2 linked regions of the Styela clava genome follow. The protein of the gene in region 1 interacts with the protein of each later gene in a biochemical or structural test. Links are inferred from orthologs where the notes say so. Each region holds a gene or a part of one and is shown on either strand. Other genes may lie near its edges.

Region 1 (12,752 bases):
ATCATCATCAGCAAAGAATAATAAAATTTTAAATTCAATAATCAACGAACTTTTCTGTCACCGCTTGGGGATATTGTCCCCATTGTCCAAAGTTGGTGATGCATTCCCAGTTAATCAATAAGATTTATCACATTCTCGTTTGCTAATTATTTAGATACCGAAGCATGTTCGTAAACGCAATGCGAGAATACCCCCACTCGACGCGGTAGTTTCATCGGGGGATTTAATGAGAGTTCGAACGAACGACGTAGCAGGACTTTTATCCGCATGTGGAGATAAACTCAAAGAACTCCAAATAATGGCAGAAACCTTTCGTCAAACCAAAGAAGTAAGTAGAATTGATAGATTAGCCTACGGTACATAGATTCCAATGAACCGAATCAACAAAAACGATAGATGTCATTAATTACCCGCGACAAATATGGAAATTTTACACCTTACCTGCCATGGGGCTTCACACCCACATATTCAAACACGAATTTTCCAACATGCTGCTAGGTATATTTGATGGAGTATTCGACTATTTAATCATAAGCTTTTCGAAAGCCTTGCTTGGACAACGAGTAGAATGATTACACATTTTCACAGGATCTCCTTGCTGAATTTCCCACTGAAGAAGGTCAAGAACTGCTTGTGACCGCTACAAGCAGCGCACCAGGCAATACGCGGGTCTGCATAGCTGATGAAGATGACTTGTTGATGACAGAGGATTTCTTCGGAGATGATGATGATACGAACGATAAATATCTATCTCGAGAAGCTATTAAGAAAAGTATGCTTCAATTTACAGAAAATCAGACGTCACGGAAGAAAAAACGGAGGGCGAAAAAGGAATAATAAAATCTTTTATTATTTGGCTCGCTACCAAAAAATATAGAATTTCATTAACTGGTGTGTTATTTCAAAAGATATTCTTCGAGGCAGGAAGGTGGAAAAAATCTTGTTATCACAAACAATAACAACACCATCTAAGTTATAAGGAAATTGGTTACACGACTTTCTCCGAAAATTACTTAAACTTAAAACTGTATTTTTTAAGGCTTCAATTGGTAGAAAACGAGACTTTGTTGCTGCGTCCCAACCAAGTGTCCGATTCGGAGATCGTGAGCAGTGCTGTGGAATCGAGAATTTCGAATATATTTTCTCTAGAGTCAAGAGTCGTGTTTTCAAACTCCTGTGAGACGGAGTCTAAATTATCTGGAGTCGGAAACGTAGACATTCAAACGCCCAAGTATTCACTACCAAATTTTGATTTTCTCGGTGTTCGGGACTGGTGTCTAGTTCCAGTCTAGTTTTTTTCCCTCAGCCGAGAGACAGATTTTTTGTCTATTGCGAATTTTCCGCGACTCCGCAAGTCATGGTCGTGAGTGAAACAGACTATAATAAATTATTTTGGGCGTTTCAGAGTTAAAAACATGCCTTCGTCTGTGGCTATACTACTTATTATATGCCAAAGCGTCAGCACATCATATTGATCCTGCTTAATATGTATTCAGGTCGCCAATAGTGAGCCTACCATCGGTTGATTGGGAAAAGCCATGTAAATAATCAAATTTTCACTTGAACTAGTTTTCAATCAGCTGTTGCCTGACAAGATTGACTCTAATTGTTTTCAAATGCCATGTTAATGCCACCTAAAATCTCTGCTCTTGTAGTTGAGAGCTTGAGATAATCTGTCAAAAGAGTTAAAATCTATATTGATTTATATGGATTTACCAGTCAATCCGTAAGGTTTTTTATTGTGTCACAGAAAAAAATTTCATAGTAAAAGAGCAGCACAGCAGCTCATATAACCTGCCATCTCAGAAATGAATAGTTGCTAAGACAATTTCGCCAGTAATATAAGTATACGCACAAAAACAAGTTTCACAATGTGTCCGAAAGCTTGAGAGTGAAAGGCAGTCATGCAACTTGTTCATTGAAAAATATGCCAGTCCTATAGTTTCAATGGTTTTGTTCAACTTACAACAAAGAAATTTGAATAGAATATAACAAGCGACAATAAAGAATTCACAGGTTTTATACATTTCTGCCTAGCAGAGATCATCCAAAAAGACCCTTTATGCAGTGTTATCAATGGAAGGGTTTTATTTGGCAAAGTTTAAATAGGAATTGCTACTGTGAGAATTTGCGTGCATCATACACACATTCATATGGTGAAGACAAATGAACCATAACAAACACTGTTATGAGATGCAATACCAATAATTACAGTAATCAATCAACAGGGAACATCCTTCATAGCATAACGCTACAAAACATGTATAACAAGACTGTGCCAAAATCCAATTGAGAATTATTTACTTGTATCATGAAAATATTCAGTAATTGAAGAATAGATGTTCAAAATAAATCGAATAATAAAAATACATTATATTCGATATAGTGGACCTTGATTTTAAAGTTATCAATAGTGAATTGTTATTCTGACATCTAACTAAATATTCCACGAATAATAACTGCTTTGCCTTAATTCTGACAACTGTAAACAAACAGTAAACCAATCTCAATACCGTCTGGTGTTAAAATTTCAGTGGTATAAACATCAATCTTTGTAAATATACAATGAATTGTGTATGTTGTTTGTTGATAGAGCCACATTCAAAGTATATTTTATATTTGAAAATATTTTTTCTGAATTTCGGAAAAAAAATATGGACGCTTCATACAAGATCCAATTTTGAATGTGTTTAAATTAGTAATAACAACCATGACACTAAATGAGCAGATGGATGCCCAACATATGATAGGCAGTGATCACAACACAAGATATATTTTAGAGCCTTTAGAGTGGAAAAATCACATTTTGTCAAAGGCAGAAAAACTTCAACTTTACCCTGCGCTTGCTAAAAGTCGCCATTTTGAAAAAATGCAGCTTTTAGTCTAAATATGCAATGATAGGAAACACAAAAAACTTACACAAGGAAGGAATGTGAGAAAAAAGTGCATTTCAAACAAGAAACTAGCTTTTTATGACTTTGAGTCAATTCAGCAAGAACAAGTTTTTTTCAAACGGGCAAGTATAGAGTATGTACTTTCCTAGAATCCAATTTCTTTCGGCAAGTTGGGCATTTTTTATTATGATGTATTGCAGTTGCTATGCAAACGTTACAAAATATATGACCACATATTGTCGATTTTACTTGACCTCCATTTCGAACAATCTGGAAAAAGGAATATTGCCATGAGTCATTTGCATAATCAATACAATTCAAAAATGGCATTCATTAATGGATTTATATAATAGTTTCATGCAAAAAACAGATGAGTATTCAACATTGTGAATAGTCAATCCACCATTGTAAATTATGAAATAGTGTTTGTGATACAAGTCAATAACATATATAAAGTTGTAAAAACCAGGGGTCGGCAACCTTTTGTCGCTCGCGGGCCAAAATTAAAGGTTGCAAGTCATTGGCAGGCCGCACATATTTTTAGAAAGTTAAAAATTGAATGGATGACCGATGAATCACATTTTATCACACAGATCATAAGTTAAATTTTAAGCAGCGCACGAAGACTGACCATTTGAATTTTTTTTGCGCCATTAAACCATTTGCACTTAGCATTAACTTTTCTGCGTTTTGTTGCCATTTGTCTAAATTATAATTAAATTATACGCTCATTAAACGAGTAATGGTGAATTATATATTTATTGCGTTATAATATAATTTAGTCTACACGTAAATTCTTTTGCGTAAACAATATAATCGACAAAACAGCTATAATTTGTTCCTATAATTCAGTGAAGCGTCGCCGGCCGGATTCGCGGGCCGTAGGTTGCCGACCCCTGTTGTAAACAATCAAGTGTGTCAGCGTTATATGAAAGCTTTGTTTAGAATAACAGGAGTACAGAGCCCAGATGAATAAAGCAAATATCACAACAATATATGATATCTGTATCCGAATATTATCAGTATAACAATGATTGATTTCATAACATAACAAGCTTATTGACAAAACTGAACTATAGAGGACTGGTTGGGAAACCCAAACATAGAAAAACATAGCCAATATTGCTCATACAATAGTTTCAAGTTCCCACTAAGATGATTAAATTAGTAGTAGCCTCAAAAGTAAATTAGAAAAAGTACAGCACCTTAGAGAACCTTTCTAAACAAACAGGACACGACAGCGCAGGTTGTGTGGGAGTTGGACTTTCGACAGATTCATTTAGTTCCTCCTCTCCATCACTGATTTCAAATGTTACTGGCGCAGGCTAATGTAAAATAGAAAAAAAAAATAATGCCAGTTAAAAGTGCTGAGCTGATTTGACTGCTTTTATCCGACAAAAGGCTTCGAAGGCATAAGTATATAGCCCACACAAATTTTAAAATCTGAAGGGTACAACTCCTTTCTTATAGCAGTTAGTATCATATTATAAAACAAACAATTTTTTACTGCTTTGACATATACCAACCTCTCTTGTTGCTGTGTTAAAATCTGGTGAGGTTAGATCAACAATAGCATCTGGAGAACAGGTCAAATCAACTAGAAAAAATACAAGGCATGTACAAATGATTTTATAACCTGTTGAAGTCCTGAATTATTTTGGCAAACTGGTTGTTTCTTCACCTTGGTAGCTCATTACATATCAGGTGCTACTTGACAAGATTCTCGTTCAGCGTGAAGATGTATAAGTGTTAAAAAGGGAGAAGCAATTGACTTCAATGAAAAGTCATTATGAATGTGCTGGAATTATTGATAAAACCTGAAAGAATATCCCTTGAAAAACTAGTCTATAAAACTACCTCAATGAAAAACTGATTTAGCTTCACACTAAAACATCATACTGTTTTTTGAGTACCCAATTATTAATCTTTTAAAAAAAAAACATACCGTATGTAGCCTATGTTAAAAATACAGCTGGAGATAAACAAAAGAGCATACAGAGACTCATTGAAATTTACCAATGCTAGTATCTGCGTCGGTGTTCAACTCTGGAAGCATTCTTCTACGACGTCTCGGTATTACAGAACTATTTGTTGTGGTTGGACTTGATGGACTATCTAGAACGATTATGTCAGCAGAACTTCTCCTCATATTTCTTCTAAACAATATTCGTTACAAACTTTAAAAAATTGTTTTGGAGAAACAAATAAATCATATTTGTTAAATTGGAAAAAATAGATTTTATGGGTTGAAATAGACATTCATAATTGTTATGCACAATGCAAAAACCTAAATAATTTCAGAGAAAAAAATGTATGAAAATGAGAAAAAGGGATAAATTTGCTTACCTTCTGAGTCGTCGACTTCTCCCACTGTCTGTGACAATATTATTCCCAATTATAATTTGGGGTGAGTTTTCAGTCATCATTCGACAATAACAGAGCTATAGTATAGCTTATAGATAAACAAGTCAGCTTGGAATAAAGTTTGAAGTGAGGATAAACATTTGGGTCTAGTATAGTTTAGTACCACAAGTACTTTCGGTTTTTTTGTACATGTTATTCCTAGCTCCCACTTGACTATGTCATCCAAAAATTATGTCACTACGACTTCACAATCACGTCATAGAGCTTGCCAAGTTTAGCTACCATCGTCCGAAATGGCATCTGCGCAGACTATACCGAACTCACTAACGTCAGCCTTCTCTCATATCGGGTTCGTTGCAACGAGAAAACGAGAGAAATAGCTTGCTCGATTTCATCTGCGCATGTTGGACGACCATATGTACACTTTGGAGGTATTTATTACGCTACTGTGGCGTCGTAGTGACGTAATATTTTGGTGACGTAGTCAGGTAGGGGTTAGGATTGACATATGCAATAATTGTCGAGCCAGACCAACCAGAAGTGCATGTGATATAAACTATACCGGACCCAAACATTCAACCGACAGCTCGAATATCGATAAACTGTGTGCTAGAGGTGTAATAAACCTAGCATACTGCTGTACTGGCATAAGTAACTTGAAAATGACAGCCTGTTATAGTACGGTACTTCCTTAATAAAAAATTTTTAAATGGATATCATTACATTTTCTGCAAAGTCGTATAATGACAACAAAATTCACTCCAACATGCCAAGCCCAGTAAGGCTTTAAAGGACTGAAAACAAATTACTTATACAAATTCAAAAATTTATAAAATAATGGTGGAGGGCAGATAATAAGTCTTATATTTATATTCTTGTAGAATTGTAGTCTGAAAATAGGATAAAGATAAGGTAATTTTTTTTAAAATACATCGAACATCTGTATACTCTGATATAACAGTATCGTGATTATAAATTGTTCCGTGTTCGATTATTCAAAATACTGCACTAATTCAGTAATTGAATACAAAAAATAAATTGCTGAGATGTTACGGTACCGGTATAACTACAATACATTTCAGTTATCTCTGTATCTAAAGACCAAAAATCAACAGCCTCCCTCTGTACGAAGACATTTCAGATTTCAACATTTTAGCGACTTCAGCCACTTTGCTCTGTCGAAAAAAAGCATCCACGGATAATTCTTCTGTTTTGATTTCAGCTGTTAGTAACTGCAGCCGCCCACTCTACTGAAAGAAGTTTCATCCGCTTTTTAGATTTGTGTACTTCAGTGATTTCAACAACCCCACTCGTAAGTAAAAATTTCAGTCATTATTCTCGTTCGAAGACTTTCAGACTTTTGGGAACTAGGTAAGCCAGTTCGCAACTTCCTGATTTCTGGAATTTGCTGTCCACTCGGAAAAAAATGTTCTTTCGTTAGTTTCCTTTTCTGGTTATTCAATATTGTCCATGCGCTAGTTGGCGCAAGAGTTCGTTTCTGCATTGCTTGGGCTTGGTGAATTGATTCACGGGGTGCAGGAGCGAAAGGAATAGAGTCGACCAATAGTGTTGCTGATAATCTAGAACTAGAGGTCCTGCTTTGTCGGCTTGGTGACAGTCTACACACTGACTCAATTTACACATCATTGAAAGTATGGCAGAATCAAACAACTTGAAGTTTGACAAGGACAAGCACATTCGATTTTTCACAAGAACATTACAAGTTTTGCCCAGTCGATATGAGGTTTTGGACTCCAACAGGTGAGCAAATATTGAATACGTTATTTAGGTATTCCTGTATCAATAAAATATAGACTACAATGATAAATAGTGATTGTTTATTATTTCTCAAAGACTACATATGCCAATATTTATATAGTATTATTAATATTACAGTACCATATTATTTATTAGGTAGGCTACCGTACTGTACAGTGTTACCGGTAGTTCAAGTCTTCCAAAAAAAATTTATTTCAAAACAGAATATTGCAAAAAACAACAACACGAAAACACTACTATTGTTATTGCTTGAATTTTGTAGCAGTCTGTCAAGTTCAATTGATTTGATATGAATGGAATACCTATGTCTGTATGTCTTTGAAAAGTTAGTTACACTACAGTACCTACTTCACATTTGTTGCCCCCTTTTTACTGAATATTCAATTTAATATAGAAATAGCCAAACACTGCTATATAAATATACTTGAATTAAAATGATATTTTGTAAAATAGCAATTTTTATATACCAAATCTCTAATTTAATTATGGAAATAATCAATAGTAATTTTTCAATACACAGGTTGACCATTGCGTTCTTCGCGGTATCTGGACTAGATGTATTGAATTCTTTGAATAAGTTGTCTTCATCAACTAAGAAAGAGATTATTGATTGGATCTATAGTCTTCAAGTTGTTCCAGATAAGCATGGTAACTTCATGTCATAATATTTTAAAACAAAGATATTGAGAAGATTGAGCAACTGTTATTTCTAAAAATTTGAAATTCACTAATTGGTGCTTTTTATTGGGCGCTCCAGAAATGTGTGTACCAATATGGAAGTAACTAATTTTGTTCGCCTATTTTACATCAAATTATGTAAAAGGACTGAAACCTATGGGTAGGGGGTATATTCACTTGGCTAACAGACAGTCCCCGAACTCGTAATCATATCATTTATTTGAACAAATTGTGAGAAATAAGTTTTGGTTTCAAATCAAATAAATTAGCCTGTTTTCTTTTAATTTAACATTAAATTTGTAACTCTGAGTGAGGATCCTATCACTAGTAATGTTGTTCAAGTCTTCTTGTTTAAGTTACATTTGACTGTTTTCAGGAAGCAATAAACGAAAATGTGGGTTTCGAGGTTCAACTACAAATGGAGTGACCACACATAAGGACATAAAGGTGCACGAAACTTTGTTAATTAAATTGTTTGACTTGATTAATGAGCAATTAATTTGTTCTGGAAGATTGAAAAATCAAAAAAAAAATGTGTGAAATTATTATGTCATGGTTTTTTGAATACTTTATATGAATTTCTGGATTATTTAAAGCTACCTCATACTCCTTTTGTATCTTACTATGAAGTACCTACCCAACCTTTTTGTTGACTAATGATAACACAGGGTATTTTGTTGAATTACACCAACACGTACCTTTGCATAACCTAGAGATGGTCTATACACCTTGTGTGCACATATCTGAAATTAGATCAACCATTCACATTTGAAATTATAAAATGGCTTGTTTATGCGACTTTTATTTTCCTAAGTTCTGTTGCTGTTTAACAGTATCTAGAAATTGTAATATCAAAAATATACCATTTCTTTTTATTTCTAAATAAGTGATTTGTTATATAGGTAGCTGAAGTGGCACATACCTTTGATAGTGGACACATAGCGATGACATATACTGGACTTGCATGTCTAATTATTCTTGGGGATGACTTGTCCAGAGTTGATAAAACTGCATGTTTGGAGGGATTGAAAGCTTTACAATTAAAAGATGGCAGGTGACTGAATTTTGTCAAATTCATTTGAAGCTATGGTATAGGCTAATATTGAAGGAATGGGGGTGATTTTGCGGTTGAAAAAAACACTTTTCTCTTCTAAAATTGCCATCTTTTTAAAGTTTTTACTCATTTGGGCAATTGTAATTAAATGCTTATTTGAAGGTTTTTATATTTTTATTGAATTTTTTTCACACTCCGCATGCGGTCAGCCGAACTGTTTTTCGCGGCCCGCCCTATAAAGTTTGTAAGCAGACTTTTTAAATTTTTACTATACATTTTTACATACTTTTTACTATACATATATATCTTTCGTGATTTTGGTGTAATTATTCCTGCCATCTATCTACATTCAAATGCCGGTTCTTATTATTAATATGTGTTAAGTCTTGCACCGTGGTGGGCATCAACGTCATTTTTCTTTATTTCTCGCAAAACTGTGCGTTCTGTTCGACGAACTCAAAGATATTGTGCTATCATTGAGAACGAACGCTGAGCGCAATTATAGGAATGAACTTGGAGCCTAAGCAAATAAATTTCATTCTGGTTGCTTTCTTTTGTGTCGGCTTTAATCGTCTTCATCGCCAACGTAAAATAAAAAGTCAACAATATCTTGGGTACTGGTCCCCGGACTTGTGTCTTTTTCTGTTTGTACTTTTGTACATGTTGAGTTCACGTTGAATAAGATTTTGGAAATGTCGTCACTGCTTATCCGTCAATAGTTCTGATAAAATTGACGTAATGGCGTTGCTACTTTTTAGTCACAAATCAGTATATATCGACTATTCGTTTAGAAATCTTCGTTATGGTACTTCATTAAATACTTGTATTGGTGTTTCAAATTTACGAAACAACCCACTAAAACGCGACATTGGCGCACATTATGCTCATTTAAACATTAAAGCAGTATCGTAGCTACTGAAAATGAATGAATAAAAACACTAAAAACGCAAATATAACACTCAATTTTGACGTGGTGTGTGTGTTTCTTGCGTGGCCGTCAAAAAACAGCAGCTGTGTTGTGTAATGATTAAATCTTTGAATAGGTCCCTCGCGGGTGTTATGTCCACGACCCTTTTACCAGATATTCGAATAGTAAAATGCTATTCTAATATTCGACTTGATATTCGTATAATTTGCCAGCCCTACCCAGTAACCAGAAAGCAATTATTAATTTGATTGATTTTATGTTAATAGACTCGCCTTTTCTGTATTATGTAATTACCTACACCGAAATCAGGACTTGAATGGTATTATTAATGTTTGGTACAAACGTCTGCGGCCCACGATTGATTTCGTCACGTGAAAGTGGCCCGCGAGACAAAAAAGGTTGGGCAGGCCTTCCCTGGAGCATTATTTGACCAGTGGAGAGCGCATTTTCTGACGATCAATTTTGATTGGCTGGTGCCCAATAACAGTATGACATCATATGCATGAGTATATTTGACCATCAATTTTTCGCAAACATAGATCAACAATTTTGGTATTTTCTTCGATATTGATATTTCCATTCAATTTTGTCTTCTCTATGCAGCTTTGAATCAACCTTGGATGGAAGTGAGAATGACATGAGATTTATTTATTGTGCCAGTTGCATCTGTACAATGCTTGATGATTTTTCACCAATAAATGAAAGTCTCGCTGTAAGCTATATCAAAAAATCTAAGGTAATAGTAAGTACGGGAATTGTTATTTTTAAAAGTCAGGTAGTGCTACACCAGCACAAATGATAAATAATAAATTTAGGTGCTCCCGAATTATGTGAACCAAGATGGCGGACATCGGAACGTAACATGGGTAACAGGTTAGGGTTAGGCGATAATTTTTTTCCATTTTTCCTTATTTTAGTCCTATTATCAGTTCGAAGACTAGCCAAGAGCCTCCCGTAGTATTGATACCTAAAATTATGTAGTATTGATACCTAAAATTATGGCCTAACCCTAACCTAGTACACATATTACATTCCGATGTCCGCCATCTTGGTTCGCATACTTCGGGAGCCCCTAAATTTAACTTGAAAAGTTTCTTTTCAAAAATGTTTTTTTAGAGCTTCAATGCTTATTCACTATTGAGTTTTAATGAGATTTTTGCCCCCTATGTCATGTTTTTTTACCAAAGAGAGCATTATTTATCATACTTCAGTGTTTTTATGTTGAAGATATTTTTGGTTATTTATTTTTTTGGTTCGGTTGTCCATTTACGTTAATCAGGTATTGATTGTCCACAATTTAGGAATGAAATATTAGTGGTTAATGAATTGTCAAAAGAAGATTCAATTAACAACCTCCAGATAAAGTTCAATTATTGACCCTCTTAATGAAACTTCTGAAAACACTCTATAAAACAGAGAATGAATTTAGTAAGCATATATGCATCAAGCTGAAAATGTTATTTTTCTAGCCCGCTGAACTTTCGGCTTATTAATCTTCTAGTTTGATAACGCTTTTATGCATTATAAAATTTCAGTCATACGATGGTGGTTTTGGTCAAGGACCTGGCCAGGAAAGTCACGGTGGTTCAACTTATTGTGCAATATCTTCTCTTTTATTATTAAATCAACTTCATAATGCATTTTCACAGAAGGAAATTATGAGGTTTGTATTGTATAGATTATTTTAAAACCTTGGAGTAATCCCGACTTTTCATTTGCAATAAAGCAATAGTTTTTCATCAACTCAGCTTGGAATAGGGCTTATGGTGACGTTGAAATTTTGTTCGTCAACCAATAATGCTACTAAAATTATCAAGTTTCTGTTTTTTAGAAACTTCATATAGATAACCTGCACCAGTTAATGTGCACCGGTGAATAAAAGGTTAAGACCTTTGCAATAGACTAGGCTTGAAATCTAAAAAAGACTTTCTTCACTGATATAATTTTTAAAACACTCCACAATCTGGTATAATTAATTTTTGGAAGTGTGACAATTAGGCTTTTCTGTGTTGCACTGATCAAATACCTGCGGGTGTGATTCCAATGACTTATCATGTCTTCAGATTACAAAGGTGGTGTTTGAACAGACAAAAATCAGGATTTCATGGAAGACCCCATAAAGATGATGACACTTGCTATTCCTTCTGGATTGGTGCTTCATTGAAGGTGATTTTTTTTTTCAGTGAGAAAGTCGATTATGGAGTATTGTTGTGGCTCCATCGAATGCTTTCAAAGAATATCCATTTGTGGATATGATTGATCAAAAACTAGTTTCAAGCTTGCAAAATTTTTCGCGACACCTGATTGCGTCTTCACTTAGAATATTTTATTTTTCTTATTCCATACTTTGTTCATCTGGTCTTTTTACACTTGCTATCTCTCAAAAGGGCCTTCACATTTTGCAGTTTTATGGAAAAGGTCGCACTGCTTGGGTTGTTCGAATGTATATTATGTAAAACAGTATAACAGACTTATGTATCATTTTATTTTGATACTATTTTTCTAACTATTATCCATTTATGTTCCTAAATTCATCTACAATATATTTTCTGTAGTTGATCGGATCTTTGGAACTGTGTGACTGGCATGAAAATGAACAGTATATTATATCAACGCAAGATTCAGTTATAGGCGGTTTTGGTAAATGGCCACAAAGCCATCCAGGTAACCTAATATTAATCTTTGATACTAAATGCTGTTTTCTCTTTTTAAACCAATATTTGAATTGCTTGTTGCATACCGGTATTTATGTAATGAAATTTGAGTACTGAAAATTCCACCGCTAATGAAATTATGAGGTCATTCAGGAAACCTTGAAACAGGTATAGTATATATAAGCGAGGAAAAAGTTTTGTACTCTGAGAATAACTCACTTTAATGTATAACTGATTGATGAACAGATTTTCAGATATATTTTGTGACATAAAACAAGTAGCACAATCGTTTAGCTTTTATTATAGCTCTTCTCAAACTTTGTGCAGAACGCTATAAATAAAGTGCTTGGCTTATAATGTTCTACCTACCTATAACTCTGAGCCGAATCTATGTTCACATA
Region 2 (11,621 bases), on another chromosome or scaffold:
GTTTGTACGACCTGAAGGCACAGAAATGAGTCATCAAGAACTGTAGGATACAGGTATGCTGGTGATATTAAAATAGTAATATTTTACTTATGGTAATTCAGGTGAATCCTCTAGGGGGATTGGTTCAGGCAGAGCGCGAAGAAGCCAACCGTACACCTGCTGACAAAAGAATTATGTTTTATGCGGATCATCCTTTCATCTTCCTGATCAAAAACATGAAAAGTGGTGTCATGTATCAGCTTGGAGCATTCAAACGTCCAGAAGGCAAGGAACAAAATCATGATGAGCTATGACCAGCAAATTGCTTATGCCACCTGCACTGCTATCTCTCACAATTTTTTTCAATCATAATCTGTAAACAATTTACATGAAGTTGATCAACTTTTCACTGCTTATAAAGCTGGTGCTTTTTTTGATAGCCATTTTCAGTATTCATAATTAAATTTTTGCAGTATAAATCTGGTTATAATCACTGGGACTACTTCCTCTTGAGCAGATAGACAGTGCATGTAGCTTTACGGTAGCTGCGGTGTTCAAGAGTTGCATTGGCCTTTATTCCTGATGAGGCGTAGCCATATAGCTTGCAGCATTTTCCTAGAAATTATGGTTAACTGGGTGAGAGAGTTCCATGTTTTTTCTAGTTTGGATTAATAACTGACGAGCTATGGGGGGGGTTCACCAACTTTCAGTTGAATAAGTTTCGCTCATGATTGTGTTCTAAAGTTTCGAGCAATCAGATTTATATCTGTTCACTAGGATGACACTATACGAAAGTGTACCCACCCACCCGATGGGATATTATCATCAAATGTTAAAATAATCTCACAATTTCTTGCTGCACAATTCATGAATTTTCGGCTGGTCAACAATACAAAATCTGGACAGTTGATCAGATGAGAGAACATGCTCTTCGTCCTATTCGATAGAGACAGTTTTAAAAGTCCTATCTAGGCGGTTCAATCAGAATATGAGCTAATAAAATAATTCACTGAACTGCTGTGACAAGAGTACAAGACCCACAATATTTTTGAAGAATGTTAGGAACCTAAACAGGTATACCCTCAAACCTTCATGATCAACAACAGATACGAAATATTCATTCGTTCAATCATTTGGTTTATTTGATCAAGCAAAAAACAGATTTTGTCATTCATTAGGAATGCTAGCTTGAAATGTTTGACACATAAATTGGGTTCCCAATTAATAGTTATAATGGTTCTTGTAGTATTGAAATGTTATTTTGATGGCAAGTAATTGACATGATACTGCCATTGAATCATGTAGCGAAAAATTTAGATTCTTTAGGGCCAATGTTTCCCTATTCCTCTCCAAGCAGGAATTTAAATATTACTCTATATTTGCATGTAGTATTATTGTGAAACATAGATATGCATATGTTTAAACTGTACAGAAGGCTAGTTGCACATATCACAAGCAAATGTTCTATTCAAGATTGAATAACAAATTCAAACAAAACTTTTTATATATAGTGGGGAGGAATGAAGAGTTTGAAAAATAGGTTAAAGAATGCACCAAAAAAAGAGGGAAACTACTTAACTAAGGCTTCCCAATACCAATGCATCATTGTCAGCTTGAACTGTCAGGATGATAAGTTGCTTGCTAAATGTTAACAGTTTTTCAACAATTCATAAATGTCATCATCTCTGAATCTATCTGCAAACGAATCTATCAGGCCTGAATGGGTGGCAGGATAAGAAACCAAATTAATTTCTTCACTTTTATTAATGGTGTTATCTTGAACAAATAACTTTCTTGGTTGACGTCGTAAGATGACGGTCTGTCTCAATTTTAACATGTCGGGTTGTATGTCAGATCCCACAGTTGCATAATTCTGCCACATAACTCTGGCAGTCTCACAATCGCCGTGCGATTTGTAGACTTGCAGTTTGCACAAGAAATCACCAATTGCTTTTTGACCTTTGGTCTCTATGAGTGAACGATCAAGAGTGATAAGAGCATCTGGCTTTCCGTCATCTTTGCATGTAGTGTGCATAACAGTCACAATACCAGCCTCCATCAAAACTCTGAGAATGACATATCTTGCTTGCATATGAGCTTGCCTCCATGTTTTATTTTCTGGAGTGTAGTACAGAAGGCCTTGAACTCCTGCCCAAACCATATTTAGCCAATTGACATAAATGATATCATCGGCAGATTGTCCTTCATGTCCAAAAATCTTGAGTGCATCCCTGTTGAGGCACAGGTATAATCCCACACATTCTGCCCTACATTCCTCATATGGTGAGGAAAGTTCAACAAATTTGCTATCCCACGTTTCACCAGATTTGTACCATTTTTTGACTAATTTATTTGTCAATGGATTGATGACTTTTTCTTTATCAAAATTCATGGTTCCATCTTCTTTTGTGCTGAACAATTTCCCACTGCCGTGTCCTAACAACTCATGCAATCCAACTTGAACCTCAAAAGATTTACTTTTGTAATCCTTGAACATAGCCTGGTCTTCATCGGAAAGAAACCATACTTTTTTTCCTACAGAATACGCTGCAGATAACACATTACCAAGTGATACATTCTTGAATCCTTCCGACTGACGAATGTCATCATAGTTTGGTATATTGATACCAGCAGGAATACCACTGCCAGCAAAAGCAAGAACATCAAGAGATGTAAAATCTGGACGCAAAAATGTATCTTTCTCATAATCCTTAGGCCATGGCAAATGTTTCAGGAGTGTATCAGATGATGCAACAAGATTTGCAAATTTTTTGCTCATTTCTTTGTTGACAACAGCAACAAATCCTTCAAATTCACCTCTTGTTCCAAAAGGATCCCTGTATGACTCAATGAACCCTATATAAGATTCTACAATAGGTCCTTGGTCTCGGATCCAAAATCGGGAACCTTCTTTATGTGCTTCGAGATCACCACTTGTGAAAGAACGAATGTATTCCTTAATCATAGAGGCTTCATTTTCATTAAGAGCATTAGCTTTCGCCTTTTCCAAATTTTCTACCACTTTTTTCATCAAAACACTATAATCCCCACGTTGAACTGTGATTGAGTGACCTTCAAATTCATGGTCACCTAAATAAGGAAGTTTATCACCACTATCATCAGTTTTAGAAACTGATGCGAGCCTGACTTCATACTTGTACTTTCCATCATCCAACTCTTTCTTAAATAGTCTAGTGTTATAGGCACTTATAGATTTTGCATCCAGAAATTTTTGTATCATTTCAGCATCAGCTTTGTCGCAATTGAGTGAGAAATACGCTGTGATTCCATTCCCCTTTAAACCCAGTTGTTTGTTGTTCTCATTCAGAGAATAAGTTCCTTCAGCACATGCTTGCATCAAGGACTCAATGAGCTCCGGTTCTTGACGATATGCATCTGTACACATGACCAACTTCATGAACTTCTCCTGAGGAACTCCAGGGATGAACTTTGTGTCACCAAATCCTTTATAGTTTCCCATGTTTGCCAGAAACCCAGCAATGTAAACATTGAATGCTGTTACATCTTCTGCTGAAAATCCACATTGTTCAACAGCAATTTTTGCAATTGCTTCTGCACTCTGCTTTGAAAATATTTTCATCAAAAGACAAAATATTTTTGGTGACTCGGGAGAAGTTTGGTGCAGGACAATCAGTCCACCATAGAATGATGCTTTTCCCAAATAATGTGAATACAATTTTTCACTCTTGCTCAAAGCTTTAAATGCTGTGACACAATCAAGGTGGCAAACCTCAGTTTCATTTTCTAGAATATGCTGTGAAACATCCATCTTCTTTACTGAAATTTGACGTATGAAAACCTTTTGCTGTAATTTCGGTGCAGATAAATTAATTGAATGTATCCTTCGCACAGATCGAAACAAGGTGGATGCCAGATTGCTTCCAGTCAAAATACTTAAAAAATAAAGAAACAAAAAATAAAACAAATTATGCGCATTATGAAAAATAGTGCAAGACAAAACAAAGATTGATATCAAATTGCGAAAAGGATAGAACTTTTTCTTAATTATTGTAGCTATTTTCAATTATACTCTGAATAAATTTGTCGCCATACCAAATACAGAATAAATCTGATCATGTGAATAATAAAAACATTGATCATACTTAGTCTAACAGTAAAATTTAAATAATATGCATGAAACCTTAAGCTAGCATACGAAACCAGTATACTTCAATTTTAGCAAAGCTCTGGACAGTAAAGAAATTGCATATGAGCAATTATTGAATTACTTTAGAGATTATATTGAACCAGTTTAACATACCGGTAATCGATCAGTTTCGCACAAACACGGTTGCAGTGGTTTAACTAGGACTCTAATTCAAAAAAGATTTTAATGGATATATAAGACAAGAATGGCTTAAGTTTAGAAAAACATAATTTCGCAAAGAAAATTTATCAAATATGCTATTGTTAAGAGAAGAAAATATATCAAAGAGTGTGTTTAAAATTTGACAAGACAATGAAGTAGAATATTATCTAGAAGCTGCTAAAATACTCAGAACATAGTGATTTTAAAATATTACATAAATTAAGCTATAGCACAGTATTGCATACAATTCACATAGCATTTATTGGTGCACTTTAAAATAATAAAATTAAACTTGGCCTGCAATAAGAGCGCAGTAAACTCTGCTCCAAAATAAAGCTTGAAACCTATAATAAGTTGAATAGGCTGCGCTTCGTGATGCCAAGTTTTTGTGACTACAAGTTTGAATCATGACATCTACATATATAACTCGCCGAAAAACGAATCCATTGTGTTAATCTTGGTTGTTTTCTTGATAGCTTATCAATTTATAAGCGATAAACAAAAATAAGAATTTGTATCAGAGTTTAAGGAATCTATGATATAATTAAAACAAAGGCCACATCAAATATTATAAATTGCACAACCTGTCTGTTTTTAAAACTCCTATACACATAGTTTAAAGTTCATTTAGAGTTTTGACAGACCCAAAAGAACACTGGTGATAAGCAGAAACAAAGCACACTTTGTTGTAAGATATATCTTGAAACAATTACACGTTATCATCATGATACCACCAACTTGTATCTTTAGGATTCTTGCTGGCCCTCATAACATATATTGAATTATCGGGAGGCCTTTTCTTTTCCTTACAACTGCTTAACATAGATATGATACTCAGACAAACAGACTCAATAGAAAGTGCTGGACTCCAATCTGTTGTCAATATGGATAAACATATATGTCCGTTGCTATAAATATGAGGATGAACTGGAATTTTGTTGCCAGTAAACATGACTTGAGGCGACTCAAATGGATATTTATCCCCAAATATGAATACAAGATTAAATACTTCCTTCGCATACAAAGTGTTGTCTGCACCAGTGAGTTCCATGGTTACGCGTGCCAATGAAGTGTCATCAGGGTTTAGAAGTTTCACACCTGGTGGTGGTCTCACTGCTAGATTTTGTATTTCTTTACTAATCCGTTTTTGCTTGAAATTAGCCATTACCAATATTCCTGTAGTGAGTAGCGTACAGTACTTTAATCCAAATCAATATTTGTAACTTCAAAGAGTCATATTACAGAATTAGCCTAAAAATAGCTAGCTATTTGATGATTTAAAATTGTAGAAAAGAATCATAAAATTGGTGTTAGACCTCTCAGGCAAGAATCGCCTCAAACAATTATCAATTGCACTTCGCTATTATTCCTGTATTAATGACAATTTCCGAATGATCCTGTGCTCCAGTACAATATGCAGATATGCTATGCCAGGTAATCAATGGAGTAGGAAATACCGTACATGCCACCTACAGTAATGTACGGTAGCGAATTAAACCCTAGTATCTGCGATACTCATGAATTTGTTTGTGAAGTGATAAACTTAAAACTATACTTAGGTTCCGACTTCCGACCTTACCTCTGTACCTAGTTATCGCAAGACAAACTCACACTAAAATGATGGAAAACTCCCGGTAGCATGGCCGGAACTTCCTCATTAAAACAAGACTACCGGTACTATGATACCACCACTGTGAAGTGAGTCGCACTCCATTGAATTCCCGTGATGAAAGATGCGATTTCCATATTTATCACGAGACTGCTGAAGAAGAAACGTTGATAAGGATAGGATTTACATACTGGCAAATTGTAACATTTGCTAATCAACTAGACATTAACGGCTAAGTACAGCTGAAAACTGACAAATAGCATACAAAACCATAACAATAAGCTAAAGTAAGGATAAGATTTACATATTTATCCCGGGGTAGAGGAAAGCCGATTTGACGGCTCAACCATATGGCGAACCACGTCCTCTCGTCCGGTTACCATTCCATGTCGGGTATGGGATTAGTTAGATATTTGTTTTTCCGAAGCATGGACTTCACCACCATGCCTGTAAATATCTTCGTGGGAATCTTTTCTGAATATAAATTTGGGGAAAAGTTGTCTGAGGGCTTATAAATTATTAACGTCACCATTATATCTTGCTGATTTTAGCCAATGTTACAGAAGTAAAAAGAAAGTGCACGTTCTCCGGTGGCTTGAATAGTAATAATATTTATACGAGAATATCGGTCGGAGACCGAAGAGTTATCGATCGTCGGTTAGGGGATCCCCCAAAACAGCGTTCTTACTCCATAGTGACACCGTGTGTCCCATCACTAATTAATTAATAACTCGCTAATTATACGACATAATTTATCAAAAATCAATAGGCTTCTGATCCGAGCTATGATGAATGCACATGCAAAATTTGGAGAAGATTCAACCTCGCTATCGTGAGATATCGCGTGCATCTAACAGACAAACAAACAAACAGACAAATACCTATCAACATACTTACCGATCGTAAGATCGATAACTAATGAGCTGGATATTACTAAGCCTCAGAATCGAACCAAGATTTGTACAATCCGCATAGCTCCGGTTTTTTGTTTTGTAAGTCTAAAAAACTTAGACGGTATGTTAGTCATTGGTTTAAATGAGGATTTTATGCCCATCAGTGCAATGGAGTAAGTATATTCCTAATAGCATATTGACACCTATTCTACACGAGGTGACAGCAAATTAAAATAGCACATATGTCACATGCACAGTTGTGAATGGCTTGCTAATAGAGGAGTCAATCAAAGTGGTTTAATTGGGCTAATTTAGTGTTGTGAGCACGAGAAATGAAATAATACTGCGCGCGAAAGCCGCGCTAATAATCCAGCTATTCAAAAATCGATTGTCATTGAATGAACAATCACTCGCAGTCGGTGGATTTTTACATTTATCTTCGGGAGTCGAAAGATGATAACATGTCAATCTTATTTTACGAAATATGGCCATCACCCGGTTCAAGTATTACCAACCCGTTCAGCTCAGTGTGATGCACCGTCTGACAAATTCAGCCTCAAGATGTAGGCAAGAAGCAGAATAATAAATTAAATCGTCAAAATCAAGCAAAGAAATGCTAAAATTTCAAATCCGACAATTCATTAGTGGAATTGGTACCTGTCGCAGAACAATATGTCAAACATTTCAGAGGACTTCCGCCGAACTCCTGGTAAAGAACCAATACAATAGAGCAGGGTGGTCCAAAGTTGTGGGCTCCGCGGGCCACAATAGTACCAAGAATAGGTAAACAGTGCAATACAAAACAAGCACTTCTATTGTGTAAACACTTGGTTATCTGGTATTGTCAACCTAGACTAATGGAATCCGCATCCGATGTTTAGTATTCTATCATGTTGCCTATGTTGTAAGCATATACGAATTCCCGACCAAAACGATAGAAATCCAGGTAACAATTTAGACTGCCCATCATATCTTCAACTTCGCTAGTTGCTTCAGCTAGCCATCATACTATTCAATTCAGTCACAGTAGTGATATACCAACAATATGTCAACGATTTTTCTGATTTATTTCATGAGAAGCTATTTAAACTACGTAGGTATTCCTAATTTTCTGGCGCTCAAAGACGCAGTTGGTCGATGCTCTCTAATTCTACAAAACATACCGTTTTATCAATCCCAATTATTTCATTCGCATCTGTCAGGCAGGTAAAAAAGACAAATTTTTCTTATGTTACGGATAACCCCAAAAATAATGAAACAACACAAAAAATATCTCAAAATGTTTTCTGTTAATTATGAAACTAATTAACATAAAATTATAACACAAAAATCAATTATTATAACAACAATTAATAACACGGTTAATGGTATTACAAGTAAGATTATTACGCTATTATGGCTGTAATAATTATATTATTTCATATTTTGATTTAAAAAGTGCATGTTTACAAATTGTACACAAAGGGCGAGTTATTTTACTTAAAAAAGTGATATACATCAACATGCTGTATTAGGTGCGACATATTTTGCTCATTTGAAAACTGCATTGCAGCGCGTTCAAATATTAATAGTACATATATGAATAGCTCTCGATGCATGAATTATAATGATAATTTTTGATCGACTCATAATATGTATAAATCTCTATAACGAGAAAAACACGTTGGTGTTCAGCTGTGTATCACGGATCAGCAGGAAATTTGAGACAGAGTATCGTCCAAAACCTACGAAAGAAATAGGATTAAATTTTATATTATAATCAAATATCTACAATACAGCAAATTATTAGTTTAAGTACATAGGTTTAATTGGTTCGGGAAATTATAATTTGTAGATCAACACTACAAGGCGGTAATAGATTATTGTATTACAGCAGTGGTCAGCAAACTTTATGTACTTGCGGGCCAAATATACACATTTCCAGTAGCGTGCGGGTCGCATTATTATCGTCTACGAACACTCGCCACATTAAACTTCAAAGTCAGGCGCACTCTCACTTTCTATTGCTGTGTCAAAGCCTGCCACAATGAGGCGTATATGTGGTCTTTTTCAATATATAATCAAACAATGCATTGTTTTTATCTACTTATTATATGTGAAGGATGATGTTTTTCCTGTGTCATGACCAAAGCGTTAAAATTAAATGGCAACTATTTTGCTCCGCGGTACGTCGTCCAAACAAATGACGATCTGACCAGCGAGTACGAAATTTATTCTTAGTGTAATACATTTTAAATAAATCTACTCACAGCAATATGTGTTTTTATAATGTTTTATAATGACGATTAACATTAAGTATCATAATAACTGCGATGCTGACTGTGCATATCAAGCAAACTGGATTTGGAATGCGCAAAAAAAGAAAAATATTTTTCCGTCCAATCACTTTGGAATGTTCGACCGCCGAAAACTTCCCTCCGTTTCCCAGACATTCCCTCGAACGAACCGACTTTTAATGCATAAAACAAAAATTGATCCTAAATTTATTGTTGCTTCCGCCCGGATTTATGTGGTAACAAGTGCTGCTGTACGGCGCTTGTTTTGTAATAACTGGAATCAATTCTATGTCAATTACTTGATGAACGTTCCGTCGTTGGTAACAAATTAAATTAAGTTACGCGGGAAATTAGTTCGCACGCCGCAGTTTGTCTATCCCTGCCTTACAGCGTTTTCTGTGACTGTGTTTTGTTCAAATTCAATGTAAATTTTTGCAGTAAGGCGAGTTTCTAGGCTTTTCTTTTATAAAGTTCTGCGTTATACATTATCCATACCTCAGCAAGTTGATCTGCGTTATCGTAAGTGAAGCACATGGGTGGCTTGAACTTCATGACGTTGTTGAATGGACCGTCCAGGCTCACCAATATGTACCGATCACGCATCCTGCAAAATCAGAAAAATATACGAATGATTGCTGAACACTCAGATAGAGATATCAGTCTTCTAATTTAGGTTTTGAAGATACTAACTAGCCATAGCAATTTATGGCTTTTCTCCTCATTCCATATAACGTGGCGAATAAAAAAAAAACTGATGGAAAGAAACCCATTAAAAACATTTGTTTTGAAGAGCAGGGTGCCACATAGTGTTGGGTGTCTTTGTAGAGGGCTACAAATCATGGTGAAGGTCTGGGAATCAGCGGCCTAAAGATTTGTTGATCGAATTGTAACTCTCCTCATCCACAACCTTGGCTTTTTGTAGTGATTGAAATAGTAGAATTCTGTTTAGCAACTGTTACGCCAAACAAGCGAGAATAAAATGAATGGTGGTGAAATCGAGAAGCGCATACAGGCCGGCGGCAGTCTACATATGTTACAATTAAAATAATATTTAACCCATAACCGTTTTTATTCACAACTGGTGCTTCCCAAAAAAAACTGAGCCAGTCAGTACTGCATTCCTTCATATTATAGCAACTACAATGCAAAGTGCTTTACCTATTATACATGACTTCAGCTTCTTCTGTTGCAGGTTCTTTCGTTTTTTCATCACGCACCAGTTCAACTCCAATGAAAAGTCCAACACCCCTGCCATGAAAAACATATTGTAATTTTCTACAATGAAAATTTAAATCAACTGCATCGACCAAGCTAGCTATTCTTGTAAAATGACAACTCAATGCAATAAAAATTTCATGTGACAACAAATAACAATATATCGTCACAAGGGAATTACAATATGAAACATTTAAAATCATGGCGGAAATTGAATCTATTTCGTCTGGTAAACGATAGCTGAATAAATCAAAAGCATAAGTCTGAAGTAATTTTGTCGGAAAAATCCAAAAATCCCGACCTCACGTCTCCGATAATTTTGTGTTTTTTTTTGAGCAATTCAAACTTCTCAAGAAGATATTTTCCAACAGAAGATGCGTTTTCCATTAAATTTTCATTTTCAATGATATCCATCACCGTGTTGGCGATTGTACATGACACCGGGTTTCCGCCGAACTAAAAAGTACAGAACAATATGTCATATAATGATAGAGGAGGTCATCCATGTTCTGTATCGCAGTTCGTAAATGAGCAAAAAAACATTAACTATTCAAGGATACAAACAATAATTTCTTAAGTTCGAAAATATGAAATCATTGCCCGTAAAAGTACTACATGGACAATCTCACATTGCGACATAGAATACCAGTGTAAAAATCACGATGCGATACGGGCTTATTTAAACCTTAGAGAATTGAGCTCGATGTTTAAATTCAACTTTTCAAAGTGTTATAGTAACTGATGAATCAACCATTTGCTAAAAGCCAATTGCTTTCGACTTTCGAGATGTATAGCAGAACCTATTTTTCGATATTGATTAGAAAATGCGTTAAAATCATAAATACCATCTTAAGAGGTCGAGTGTTTGAGTCATTTCAAAACAAGTCATTGTCGTATATCCCTTTGCGGTAATTTTCTTGATTTAAAACCAGTACAAGCCCAGTCAATGTATGTTTATAGTATGAATTAATCTCATGACGTCAAATTTTGGTGTTTAGTGTCAGCTCTCATAACAGTGTGTAATTTCCATCGCGATTGCTAACCGCGTGAAAACACAGGGTTGCTGACATACATACCGTGTTGAAATAAGAAGGCAATTTGTTAGTAAGACTGTCTGCAATCTCTTTTGTTGTAATAACGGCTGACACAGGATGACCATTTCCCATCGGTTTCCCAACTGTAACGATGTCTGGAATGACATCTGGGCCCTTAAACCAAAATAAAAACAAGAACTAGCTAACACCTTTGAAAATGTGGGTCGAGGACTGAATTTAATAATCACCATATTGGTATTCAATTGTATGAAAGATGACTAACAT

Evidence for each region.
Region 2: the proteins of uncharacterized protein LOC120346365 (region 1) and ubiquitin-conjugating enzyme E2 W-like form a complex in vitro, tested with the Homo sapiens proteins (2 studies listed by BioGRID). The link is inferred for Styela clava from reciprocal best matches to the Homo sapiens genes RNF4 and UBE2W.

The regions. Positions count from the first base shown.
Region 1 is NC_135257.1:12,949,605-12,962,356, forward strand, and holds uncharacterized protein LOC120346365, read right to left. Parts: upstream 6,577-12,752; 5' UTR 5,321-6,576; coding exon 5,241-5,320; intron 5,051-5,240; coding exon 4,911-5,050; intron 4,492-4,910; coding exon 4,421-4,491; intron 4,220-4,420; coding exon 4,100-4,219; intron 3,165-4,099; coding exon 3,009-3,164; 3' UTR 1,702-3,008; downstream 1-1,701. Other genes in the region: uncharacterized protein LOC120346363, read left to right, coding at 155-328, 589-837; geranylgeranyl transferase type-1 subunit beta-like, read left to right, coding at 6,913-7,019, 7,558-7,685, 8,092-8,162, 8,618-8,769, 10,301-10,433, 11,233-11,360, 11,761-11,863, 12,253-12,361. UniProt on the Homo sapiens protein: E3 ubiquitin-protein ligase which binds polysumoylated chains covalently attached to proteins and mediates 'Lys-6'-, 'Lys-11'-, 'Lys-48'- and 'Lys-63'-linked polyubiquitination of those substrates and their subsequent targeting to the proteasome for degradation.
Region 2 is NC_135258.1:12,636,525-12,648,145, reverse strand, and holds ubiquitin-conjugating enzyme E2 W-like, read right to left. Parts: upstream 5,596-11,621; 5' UTR 5,475-5,595; coding exon 5,019-5,474; 3' UTR 3,894-5,018; downstream 1-3,893. Other genes in the region: leukocyte elastase inhibitor-like, read left to right, coding at 1-46; dipeptidyl peptidase 3-like, read right to left, coding at 1,628-3,769; ethanolamine-phosphate phospho-lyase-like, read right to left, coding at 8,500-8,535, 9,583-9,691, 10,246-10,335, 10,604-10,758, 11,379-11,510. UniProt on the Homo sapiens protein: Accepts ubiquitin from the E1 complex and catalyzes its covalent attachment to other proteins.